3 linked regions of the Caenorhabditis elegans genome follow. The protein of the gene in region 3 purifies or fractionates together with the protein of the main gene of each other region. This does not show direct contact. Each region holds a gene or a part of one and is shown on either strand. Other genes may lie near its edges. The genes, in order: enol-1, adk-1 and upp-1.

The links.
Region 1: the proteins of upp-1 (region 3) and enol-1 fractionate together in Caenorhabditis elegans (co-fractionation; one large-scale study listed by BioGRID). This does not show direct contact.
Region 2: the proteins of upp-1 (region 3) and adk-1 fractionate together in Caenorhabditis elegans (co-fractionation; one large-scale study listed by BioGRID). This does not show direct contact.

What each region holds. Positions count from the first base shown.
Region 1 is NC_003280.10:8,929,370-8,933,123, forward strand, and holds the start of enol-1 (Enolase), read left to right. Parts: upstream 1-1,633; coding exon 1,634-1,725; intron 1,726-2,736; coding exon 2,737-2,822; intron 2,823-2,978; coding exon 2,979-3,754. Other genes in the region: cct-2 (T-complex protein 1 subunit beta), read left to right, coding at 1-114; mrpl-50 (Large ribosomal subunit protein mL50), read left to right, coding at 484-1,016, 1,070-1,268, 1,315-1,440.
Region 2 is NC_003282.8:11,209,073-11,212,826, forward strand, and holds adk-1 (Adenosine kinase), read right to left. Parts: upstream 1,760-3,754; 5' UTR 1,733-1,759; coding exon 1,658-1,732; intron 1,585-1,657; coding exon 1,268-1,584; intron 1,207-1,267; coding exon 1,101-1,206; intron 1,041-1,100; coding exon 714-1,040; intron 662-713; coding exon 458-661; 3' UTR 237-457; downstream 1-236. Other genes in the region: R07H5.9 (Kinesin motor domain-containing protein), read left to right, coding at 1-70.
Region 3 is NC_003281.10:7,641,212-7,644,965, reverse strand, and holds the start of upp-1 (Uridine and thymidine phosphorylase), read left to right. Parts: upstream 1-1,864; 5' UTR 1,865-1,874; coding exon 1,875-2,012; intron 2,013-2,734; exon of another isoform or gene 2,735-2,818; intron 2,819-2,895; coding exon 2,896-3,039; intron 3,040-3,086; coding exon 3,087-3,602; intron 3,603-3,649; coding exon 3,650-3,739; 3' UTR 3,740-3,754. UniProt on the Caenorhabditis elegans protein: Catalyzes the reversible phosphorylytic cleavage of uridine and thymidine to uracil and ribose-phosphate or thymine and deoxyribose-1-phosphate.

The sequences.
Region 1 (3,754 bases), on a different chromosome or scaffold from region 3:
GTGAAGTTGTGCATGGTTTCTTCCGCCGCTGAAGCCACGGAACAAATTCTTCGCGTCGACGATATCATCAAGGCAGCTCCACGTGCCCGTGCTCAAGATAACCGACCATGCTAATCAAATTGTTCGCCAGACTGTTAAAAGATCTTCAACTTTATTCTCCCTTTTTCAGCTTTTAATCGAGTGCTTCAACACAATCGTATCTCGTTTTTTTTCGTCCCCTTCATTCTTATTTTTGATGGAATTTGATACACTTTCTGTTGCTTCTGCCTACCGTTTTTATATGCCCCCGTTTTCAATTTAATATTCGAGAATACCGCGTGTTTTTGCTTGTTGATTTGTTTTCCTTTTAAAATGAATGGAGTGCGATTTACAAAAGGTACAATATTTGAAATGTATTTTATTCCAGTTTTTATCTGATTTTTTATATTTCTGATTAAAGAGAAAAGAAAAAGCTTAAAAGAAAAAATTTAGAACTGCCAAAAGATGCACAGGAGTTTTCCGAGGCTTGTCCGATCGCAAGGTAACTTGTTGAAAGGAATGTTTGGAAAATCCGGGGAAAAGGAAGCAGTAAAGCAGCTGACACTGGAAGAACAGGAGAGCCTTCGCAAGACGCTTCCCAGCATCCGTGCTAGAGAATCCACACAAGTTACTGCTTCAGCTGATTCTGTCACTGAATTTGACGATGATCTGTTGACGATGAGCCGTATCGACACGGATGCCATCCGGGCCAGAGGTTTTCTCAAATACACGCAAAACTATGTTCCCGGCGTTGATGTCAAAAACCAAGTACTTGAAGCAGCGTCATCATGTCTAAGAAGTGCTGGAGTAAAGTCTGAAAACGTGGATCAGTACAAATTTGTGGAAGGAGATAACTCTGTAAAGTTCGAGTTGTTGAACAGGCTGGGAAAATCCATCGAACATTGGCCAACCAATGGAAAACTTCTTCATTTGGAAACAGTGGCAGACGTCGTCGAATTTTATCAGACGCCTGTCAAAAATGTAACAAAATATACAGAGTTAGTTTTTGTTTAAAGATGCTTATTGAATTATTAATTAAAATAAATTATAGAATGGCTCGCGATGAGAACAAACCGAAAAACGTCTCGATTATGGAGCATGCTGCACGTTTCCATCCTGAAGACACTCACATGTATCATGGTGGAATCACTGCATTCCCAGGATCAGGTGGTGAAGTTCTCTCTCTGAGACAGAAACGTCTACTTCGACAGTTCCAACCGAAAAAAGAATGGTTCGATTATGATGATCAGGTAATTTTTAAAGTTTCAGTGCTGACTTAAAATCGGCATTTTTCAGACATTTGATTACACTCGTCCTGACAAGAATATGCCATGGGATCCAGAAGTTGCTAATCAAATGGACAAATACACTGATAAACGATACAACCTAAAAACAAAGCAATTCACTAGGATTCGACAATAAAAAATAATTTGGTTCATTTTTGTATTAGAGTTTCATATTTAGTATTTTTAGACCTATTTTCTTTTTGTTTGATCTATCGATTTTTATTGTTGTAAATAAAATTGACGTTGAAAAAAATATTTTTGACCTCTTCACGTTTTGATCTTCCTCTAAAGTTTTGCTCTACGCAAGTTATTTCAGTTTTTGATTTAAAATGTTTGTTCCATTCACCTCGGCAGCTCACTCGCTCACTTCGCTCATTCGAGGTGGCGGGCAGCCTTCGAAAAGCAATCTGTCTGGACAAAGGTTTTGGTTATCTCTTTTTCTTTATTTTCCGCCAGTTGATTTCATGCTCCCGCGACTTCCACACGCAATCTGCAAAATTTTGGCTGCTGAATCAGGGTAATGGGGTCTGCCGTGCCTTTTTTCCAAAACGTTGACTGATGTTTACTTTTCTTTTATGTTTCATTTTGACTTGTTCAATGGTTTTGAACAATAGTGTGTGCAAACTAACGTTTTTCTTTAAATTCAACACGCAAGCTTTGAGGTGTTTTAGTTAGAAAGAAAATAGTTGTGTTTCTCTTCAAAAATAAGTTTTTTCCGAAATGTTTTGCAAATTTTCCGAATCAACAATTTCTTCTCATATCAGACCTTATCACTTCTTCTCACTTCTAAAACTGACCACTGAACATAAAAAACATTTGGTAACTCGCTTCTCAAATCCAATCTGAAGTGCATGCTTTGCCAATCTGAAACTTCGTGTAAGTCACGTATTTAGGCGAAAGGCAGCCGCTCAAGTCGTCGCTTCTCCCCAGCGGCAGTTGCTGGCGTCCTTGGCCCCTCACTTGTTTTCGAGCCCAAGGCATTGGCTCCTCTTTTCTTCTCGGCATGACGAATTTAATCATAATTCTCAATATCTAGAAGTGTTCAAGAACTTAGTGAATCTGCAATGCCTTTTTTTTGTAACTTCAGTTCGAATCTTAACTGCGTCTCTTTGAGATCTACAAACGAATTTTATTCACTGCCACGAAAAAGAGGCTGTCCGTGCGATTCTATTGAACGTGCGCTCTCGGGCCGCTCACAAACACATCTAACCAGCTGCATTTTCTCTGAGTCTCGTGTCCTCCGTGCGACCTTCGTCACTCTTTCCACTTTCTGCGCCGTCTATTGACGGCGCCGCCTTTTTCTTCTCGCACTCCTTTACCCCTTCTCGCCTCAAACATTTTATCTTTTCAGTTGTTTTGTTTACTAGTGCCCGTTTCTCACGTAGTTTTATATACTTGTTTGATTATTGAAAACATATAGTTCATTTTGCAGGATGCCAATCACCAAGATCCACGCTCGCCAAATCTACGACTCCCGCGGAAACCCAACTGTTGAGGTTGATCTTTTCACTGAGAAAGGTAAGCGAGCATTGTATAAATTCTATCAAAACTTGAAAAACCAATCTAGATTTGAATAAAATAAGATTAATCTTGTTTTATTCAAATCTGAAATTTCATGAAGTATATTTCAACATTATGACGCAATTCCGAAATCACATCATTTCTTGTTTCCAGGAGTCTTCCGTGCCGCAGTTCCATCTGGAGCTTCTACTGGAGTTCATGAGGCCCTCGAGCTTCGTGACGGTGACAAGGCTGTTCACCTCGGAAAGGGGGTTCTCAAGGCCGTCTCGAACATCAACGAGAAGATCGCTCCAGCTCTGATCGCCAAGGGATTCGATGTCACTGCACAGAAGGACATTGACGACTTCATGATGGCTTTGGATGGATCGGAAAACAAGGGAAACCTCGGAGCTAACGCCATTCTCGGAGTTTCACTTGCTGTCGCCAAGGCTGGAGCCGTACACAAGGGACTCCCACTCTACAAGTACATCGCCGAGCTTGCAGGAACTGGAAAGGTTGTGCTCCCTGTTCCAGCCTTCAACGTCATCAATGGTGGATCTCACGCTGGAAACAAGCTCGCTATGCAAGAATTCATGATTCTTCCAGTTGGAGCTTCCAGCTTCGCTGAAGCCATGCGCATGGGATCAGAAGTCTACCACCACTTGAAGGCTGAAATTAAGAAGAGATATGGACTCGATGCCACCGCTGTTGGAGATGAAGGAGGTTTCGCTCCAAATATTCAAGACAACAAGGAAGGACTTGACCTTCTCAACACTGCCATCGACAAGGCTGGATACACTGGAAAGATTTCCATTGGAATGGATGTCGCAGCATCGGAATTCTTCAAGGACGGAAAGTACGATTTGGATTTCAAAAACCCAGCTTCAGACTCCTCCAAGTGGCTCTCTGGAGAGCAACTGACCGAGCTCTACCAATCTTTCATCAAGGAG
Region 2 (3,754 bases), on a different chromosome or scaffold from region 3:
TTTTGCTTTCCTTGATAAGAACGGCGTACAGAAACTTCGACGTGTTCGGAAAAGTGACGTTGATCACTAACAGTTTTACAATTTACCAAAACTGTAAGTAATCATATTCCTCTAGTCCTGATAAATATGCAACAAACTTTATTTCAGCCGTGGCAGTGTCGTTCTGGTTCTGGATCTGATTGGCTTTGTCGAAAAGGGGAAGAAGATTCCAATTCAAATCGACATGGATGAAGAATAAAACTTTGCCATTTTATTAAAACACCTGATAAATGAATTATAAGGCACATTTTGGGAACATTTGACAAAAAAAACAACACCAAAAGAAAAATTTCGAATAATAGGGATGCTCGAGGACGGGGAATGGGGAGCAAAACAAAGAACAATTTGATATACTATAAACCAGGGGACTGGGAAATTGAAAGCAGAGAAAGTTGGGATCACAGATTATTTTATCAGTTTAATGGTACTTGCAAACAGATGGCACTGTGCATCCGTGCTTCTTGATGATTTCTTGAGCAGCATAAGATCCACAGGTGACTGAAGCTTCGACTCCCTTTCCTTGGATGAATTGAGAAAGGAAACCTCCGACAAAAGCGTCTCCGGCACCGTTGGTATCGACGATTTCTTCCTTTGGAAGACGAGTTACTGGGAATTCGGTGACCTGTAGATTAAAATTGAAAACAATAAATTCAAAAATTATCAAAAACTCTCACCTTATCTCCTTCCACGACGATGACTGGCTCTGGTCCTTGAGTGAAAACAACGAGTCTTGGCTTAGTAGATTTCTTTGGAAGTGCAGCAGCCTTCAAAGCGATCTCCTTGACACAGGTGGTCTCCCATCCATTGGCTTTAGCAAAGGCAGCAGCTTCGTCTTCGTTTCCGAAAAGAACATCGACCAATGGAATGATTTCCGAGAGCTTATCGAAGAAAAATTGGGAGATGAACGGGGCGGAGAGGTTAAGGGTGAAAGTCTTGTTGAATTCGGCAGAGTGGCTTGCGAGTTGGAGAATAGCTGGTGGGCAGACAGTGATGAAGAATCCCTGAAAATTTTACATTGAGAATACTTTTGTGCTTATTTGTAAATCAATTCGATAACTTACAGTGACATAGAAATATTTGGCCTGCTCGATGATCTTCTGATTCTCCTCCTTCTGGAGATGATCTTGAGTGAAGGTGTTAGCAGCAGCCAAATGAGCACAGAGTGATCTGAAATCATTTCAACACGGCAACGATGATTTTTCTGTCCGTCAAACAATGATCCGCTTACCTATGAGTTCCGTTGATGAGGGCTGCGCAGGTACCGGTCTTAACTGTCTCGTTGATCTGATAATGCACATTCACTCCAGCTTCTTTGGCTTTCGATGCCAAAAGATCTCCGTACTGATCTTTACCAACAGCTCCAAAGAAAACTGTTCGGTTTGGTGCGTTCAAAATCCATTGAGCAACACGGAGCGAATTCTGTGCGGCTCCTCCTGGAATGTACTCGACTTTGAAATCTCTGGTAAGCTCGGTGAACATGTCATTGTGCTTGTCGTCGCAAAGAATGGCGTCGTTTTCTTTGAGTCCCCATTTGTCAAGGAATGCCTGTAGATTTCAGCAATTAAAATGAAATATTTTTGAATGTGCTTCTAGATTTCTAGAGAAATCAAAAACTTACCTTTTCAACGGTGGTTTGAATGTCCAACAATGGATTGCACATTCCGATGAGGGTGTTTTCTGGCAGAGGAGACATTTCCGTGACGTGAGGAGATGGGATTACCTGCAGATAGACAATTAGAAAATGAAAAGTGAGAAAAAGGCGAGTTTTGAACGAGTAAATAGACATAAGAGAAAACAAATAAGAAGATTGGCAAAGAAAGAGTGCGAAAAAACCGTTTTCGTGCTTTTTTGAACACGAATAACGCTGTAAAGCCAAGATATTTTGTGTTTTAGGACAATACATTTCCACGAAATCCACGTTGTAATTTGAAATTCCGGCCGAAAGACATTTTTGATAAACAACGATCGCATGGGATATCGGAGTGTCGTTGCAACGTGTTTTAAGATTTTATCGATCATAAATCTTTGCTGACAGAAGCGGAAAGTTTTTAAAACACCGTTGCTATCTTAAAAAACATGAACGTTTAAAAAAACCAAGAATAAAATTTGCAAGTTTCTAAATGTGGAAGTACCTCCTTCAAACACAAATTAGTGAATGCTATTTTGAATAATATTTTGAATAATATATTAATAATGGCTGATTGTTTGATGAATACTGTGTATTTCTTTTCCAATTCTACGATTTTAAAGTGGGAAGCAGTTATGCGGAATGGTCTCGCCAAGAGCCGTCTATTGATATATTTTTCTCAATCAATGGCTGGCGCGTGGCGAGACCAATCCGCATAAATGCTCCTCCCTTTAAAATCGTAGAACTTGAAAAATTCATAGTAAAAATACGATTTTCGAAAGTGGGAGCGATGAGTTTCCAGAAAAGTGAACGATCAGGCGTGGAAATTCAAATGTAATAAGATAACTTATTAGAACTTGGACAAAAATGAGAATGAGTTACACACAAAGTACACGATTCTGATGAGAAATGCGCCTTCCAACTAGCCTATCTTCTATTTTATCGTCCATTACTCCCCAGTCTGTCTGCAGTTTCTAAAAGATCTCCGCTATTTCGTTATCGGTTTTTTGACCGGCAAATTGTGACACTGATAGTATCTACCGATATGCCATCTAGCCTCAGAACAAGAAAAGTTGGCTAACTTGCGGTGGTGGTTTGAACGAGACAATTTACAAGTTATGTTCAATTTAGAAAACAATTTTAGTTGTCAATGGCTTTTAAACCTAGCAATTACATTAAAGTCTATTGCAAACAGTTTAAAATTGAAACTAAGCCTGAATAAACAGACACAGTGCGTAATGCAATTTTCATGTGGAAGTTGCAAAAAAGATAGAAAAAAGAGAAGAAACTACAACGGCAACTGTTATGAAAAAACCGATTGATTTCCATTGTGTTCTATGAACAGAAGGTGTCTCCTGCACATAAGTTCTCAAAATGAGAAAAATTTTCGAAAATGGCCTGATTGAAAGTTGATAGTCGATCAATTAATGATCTATTGGGGTTTCTATGTGGAGTAATATAGAAGTTGTACTCATATTTATTGGCAGTAGTTAAACAATTACCTATATACTCCGAAAAGTAAAAACTACAAAGTTTTTTTCGTACCCACGTTGTGAGTTGATACTCAGCTAATAGGTGAATTTTCATATTCTCCTTCACTGCACTATTCACTATATATATAATAGATAGCCGTTATAGAGCATTATTTTCTATGAAAATTAAACATTTAAATCTTTTTACTTATTGTAAATAAATACTTTTAAAACCTACGTTTTGAAGAACTTGCATATTTCAATTAAATGAAAAAACGTGTTACAGATTTAATATTGCCACTGGAGATTTAGTCTCAATAAACTCCAAGTAGTCTAACATGGCCGCACATTAGTAAATTGCCAAAATTGGCCAAAAATGCGTATTTTTGAGTTATTTCAAGCATATTTGTAGGTCCAAACTATTTAAATTTTTTTCTTTGAAACGGAACTAAAAAATGAAACTGGTAAATGTAACATTTTTTCTACTTCCAAAATTATAATATAGAAAAACTCTTAGTTTTCATTCCTTTTGACTGTATAAAAATTATTTCAAAAATTTTGCGAAAAGTTTTACAACGATATTTGGAGCAGTTTTAAACAACTTCATACTGAAGTT
Region 3 (3,754 bases):
CAATTTCTTCAATTTTTTTCCAGAAGGACATTTAGAAGAAAACAACTAGTTTTCAGCAAAAAAGGATATAAAATTAATTTTCAAAAACTTTATTTTTAGCATTTTGATGAGATTGCAAATTTAAAATTGAATCTTTTGAAATTATCAACGTTTCTTTTTGAATTCTAACAATAATATGTTGGCAGTCAAAATTTGAAAATTTGAGAACGATGCTCAATAAATTTTTGTTCAGGTTTCAAAAAACTGGAAGAAGCCAGCTTTGAAAGAAATGACGAGTTGGAAACTACAGTACCCATAAAAACGAAAAATCTTTCGCATTTGAAACTCATGCCCTTTTTCGGCAACTCGGCAACCGATTTTTGTGACGTTGTGAGACTACTGTAGACCGAATTTCCAAATATTCAGTGTCACTTAAAAATCATGATAACAATTGATAAGATCACCCCTCATAACTGTGTCCCGTTGACTTTATCATTTCCGTCTTTTTTCGTCATCTTCTTGCGCCACGTGCTGTCTCTTTCGCAGAATCATTGTTATAATCTCGCCATCTTTCATGATTGAAATTTATTGTCAATGTGTTCAGGAACTAGCCTTTTATTTACGATGACAAATAGATGAAACACTGGGGACACTAAAAGCGTAGTTTTGAACAATCAACACCATAAAACTATAAATGAACAAAGTTGGCAGCAAGAATTATCAGCATTATCAGGAGAAAGAACTTTTTGTGCAGATAAGAAACAATTGAACGCGGAGATCAGAATGACATGATTATTATTATCTGTATTCTTACCGCAAACTTTTAAAATAATAATTGAAACAAAAAAGATTCTCGCAAAATTGTAATATTCAAAGTTCGCGCGTTTTTATCTGTCTGCATGTCGACGTGTCGGTGTTTGCACACTTACGCTACATCTTACGACAGGTGTTTTCAAACTCTCGCGAATTTATTTTTTTCCTTCGAAATCATCGAATTTCTTCCATTTAAGTCTAAAAACTTCATATTTTCAGTAAGATAATTCATTACTATTAATATCCAAAGTTTATATCATGTGGTGCTTGAACAAACTGCTGGTGCGAAAAGTTTAAATCAAATAAAAGCAAATCCTTCGTTGAAAACAATCGGAGATTTTCGATTTTCCACGTGGAAACTGTTCTAAACTGCGTCACCATCGTTTTGTTTGTCTTTATTGTCTCAGAAAGTTCAGTTCCTGTTGACTTTTTTACTCAAATTTCAAAACTTTGTCCTTTTACTCAATTTTTCTGACTTGTCGAAGCTTCTTCACAGAAACTGTTTGTTACATCACCACGCTTTCTTTTTTCCGCAAAATAATTTTTCTTTCCATCTATTTCCAATCGTTCCGCCCATTTTCTCGACGAAAACAAAAAAAAAGATAGATAAAAAGGGAGGAGTTTCGAGGTTACTTGCTTTACGGAATAAAAGTTTCATTTTCTCAATATTTTCATTTGGAAATTTGTGAGTTCTTTTTCGTCTTTATATATTAGAGTGATTTTGCTTATTTCAGATTGAAAAATAATTGTTTCACTTTTCTTTTAAATTTCAATTTTTCTCTGAGGTGTACTAAAAGTCTTGGTAGCAAAGGTAGAATCTCGTTTTTCTCGTTTTTATTATTTATCACGTAGCCTGGAGCTCACGAGTTGTCCAAATTGGATTTGAGTCCTTTTTAAGCATCTCTAACCGTCTACTCTCTCTGCTCTCTCCTCGTCTCTTTTGGAGTGCCCTTTTCTTATTCTATGTGATACTGACGACATTTAGCACGCGTATTCTGGTTCCTGTTTTTGTTTTGCTCTCTTTTATTCATGAAGTTTTTTTTTTCATTCCTATAAGTTGGAATTTTTTCAGATCCATCAAGATGAACGGACTTGTCAAGAACGGAAATGTGGAGAAGCCAAACAAGTACTTCGATATCAAGGATAAAAGAGATTTTCTTTATCACTTTGGTTTTGGAGTCGACACTCTCGATATTCCAGCAGTTTTTGGAGATACCAAGGTTGGTTCTACAAAGTCTAGAAAAAATTGAATAAGTGAAAAAGTTCCCTCATTAGTTTTAATATTAGTTCACTCCTAATCTTCGAGAAATGTTCCACTTTAAAAATCGTTTACTATATATAAAGCGCGTGTCCTTCTGTCCCTATGTAGTTTGATCTCTGATCAGAGCAACGAAATTTTGGGAAACCTTATGCTAAGTGCGCAGCAGGCATCGATCGAGGTCCGCGATAGACACCGTATATCTAATGTGTTTTCTCAAAGAAGTCGGGGGCCGCGCCGTAGGTGCGGTCCACGGCTGGTGATTCATAATGTTCCAAAAAATATGAGAAATAATCCATTTATGTCTTCACTTCCCAGGTAGAATGATGCAACAGTTTTCTCTATTCATACATATCGATCAACAGAACAAACACAAAAATATATTCATTCATTTGGCGCTTTTATTTCTTCAATTTTTTGACCCGTTAGTTGTCATGCGAGTTTTCTTCTTTTTGAATTATAAATTTGCATAGCCACGCGCCTCCTGGTGTCCAATTTCAATAGAGGGTAAATATAATTTGAATCGATACCAACACAAAACGAATCTAGAATTTTCAAGAGCTACATATTCCTCACTGATAAGTTTATCTCTCTCCTAGGGCGGGTAATACTTCTAGCCAATTGTTACACAAGCGCCCTTCGTGTCATAGGAATGTCTATGTCTTTACTGCACGTGTCAAACACGCTCCGTTGTGGTCTAGTGGTTAGGATTTATGGCTCTCACTCATAAGGCCGGGGTTCGATTCCCCGCAACGGAAGATTTTTTTTGTTTTTATAGGTGTTGTGTGCCGAAATTGAATCATTTTAGTGAATAATAATTTGCACTATCATTAAGTTAATTTCAGTTCGTCTGCACTGGAGGATCTCCAGGACGTTTCAAGTTGTATGCTGAATGGTTTGCCAAAGAGGCCAATATTCCATGCTCTGAAAATCTCTCACGGTCTGACCGTTTCGTGATTTACAAAACTGGACCAGTTTGCTGGATCAACGTATGTTATTTTGAGGCGACAATTATTTGACAAAAATAAATTTACAGCATGGAATGGGAACCCCATCTTTGAGCATCATGCTCGTCGAATCTTTCAAGTTGATGCACCATGCTGGTGTTAAGAACCCAACTTTCATTCGTCTTGGAACATCTGGAGGAGTCGGTGTTCCACCAGGAACTGTTGTTGTGTCAACTGAAGCCATGAATGCTGAGCTTGGAGATACCTATGTGCAAATCATCGCAGGAAAAAGAATTGAGCGGCCTACTCAACTCGATGCCGCACTCCGCGAGGCTCTTTGCGAAGTCGGAAAAGAGAAAAGCATTCCAGTTGAAACTGGAAAAACCATGTGCGCCGACGATTTCTATGAGGGACAGATGCGTCTTGATGGATACTTTTGCGATTACGAAGAAGAAGACAAGTATGCTTTCTTGCGGAAGCTAAATGCTCTTGGAGTACGAAATATTGAGATGGAGTCAACTTGCTTCGCCAGCTTCACGTGTCGCGCTGGATTCCAGTCTGCTATTGTCTGCGTCACTCTTTTGAATCGTATGGATGGAGATCAGGTAATATTTTGATTCTTATTGACAGTCTTCAATTATAACATTTATAGGTTCAAATCGCCAAAGAGCAATATATTGAATACGAGGAACGTCCATTCCGCCTTGTAACTGCCTACATTCGCAAGCAGACCGGGATCTAATAATCTTAAAATCAA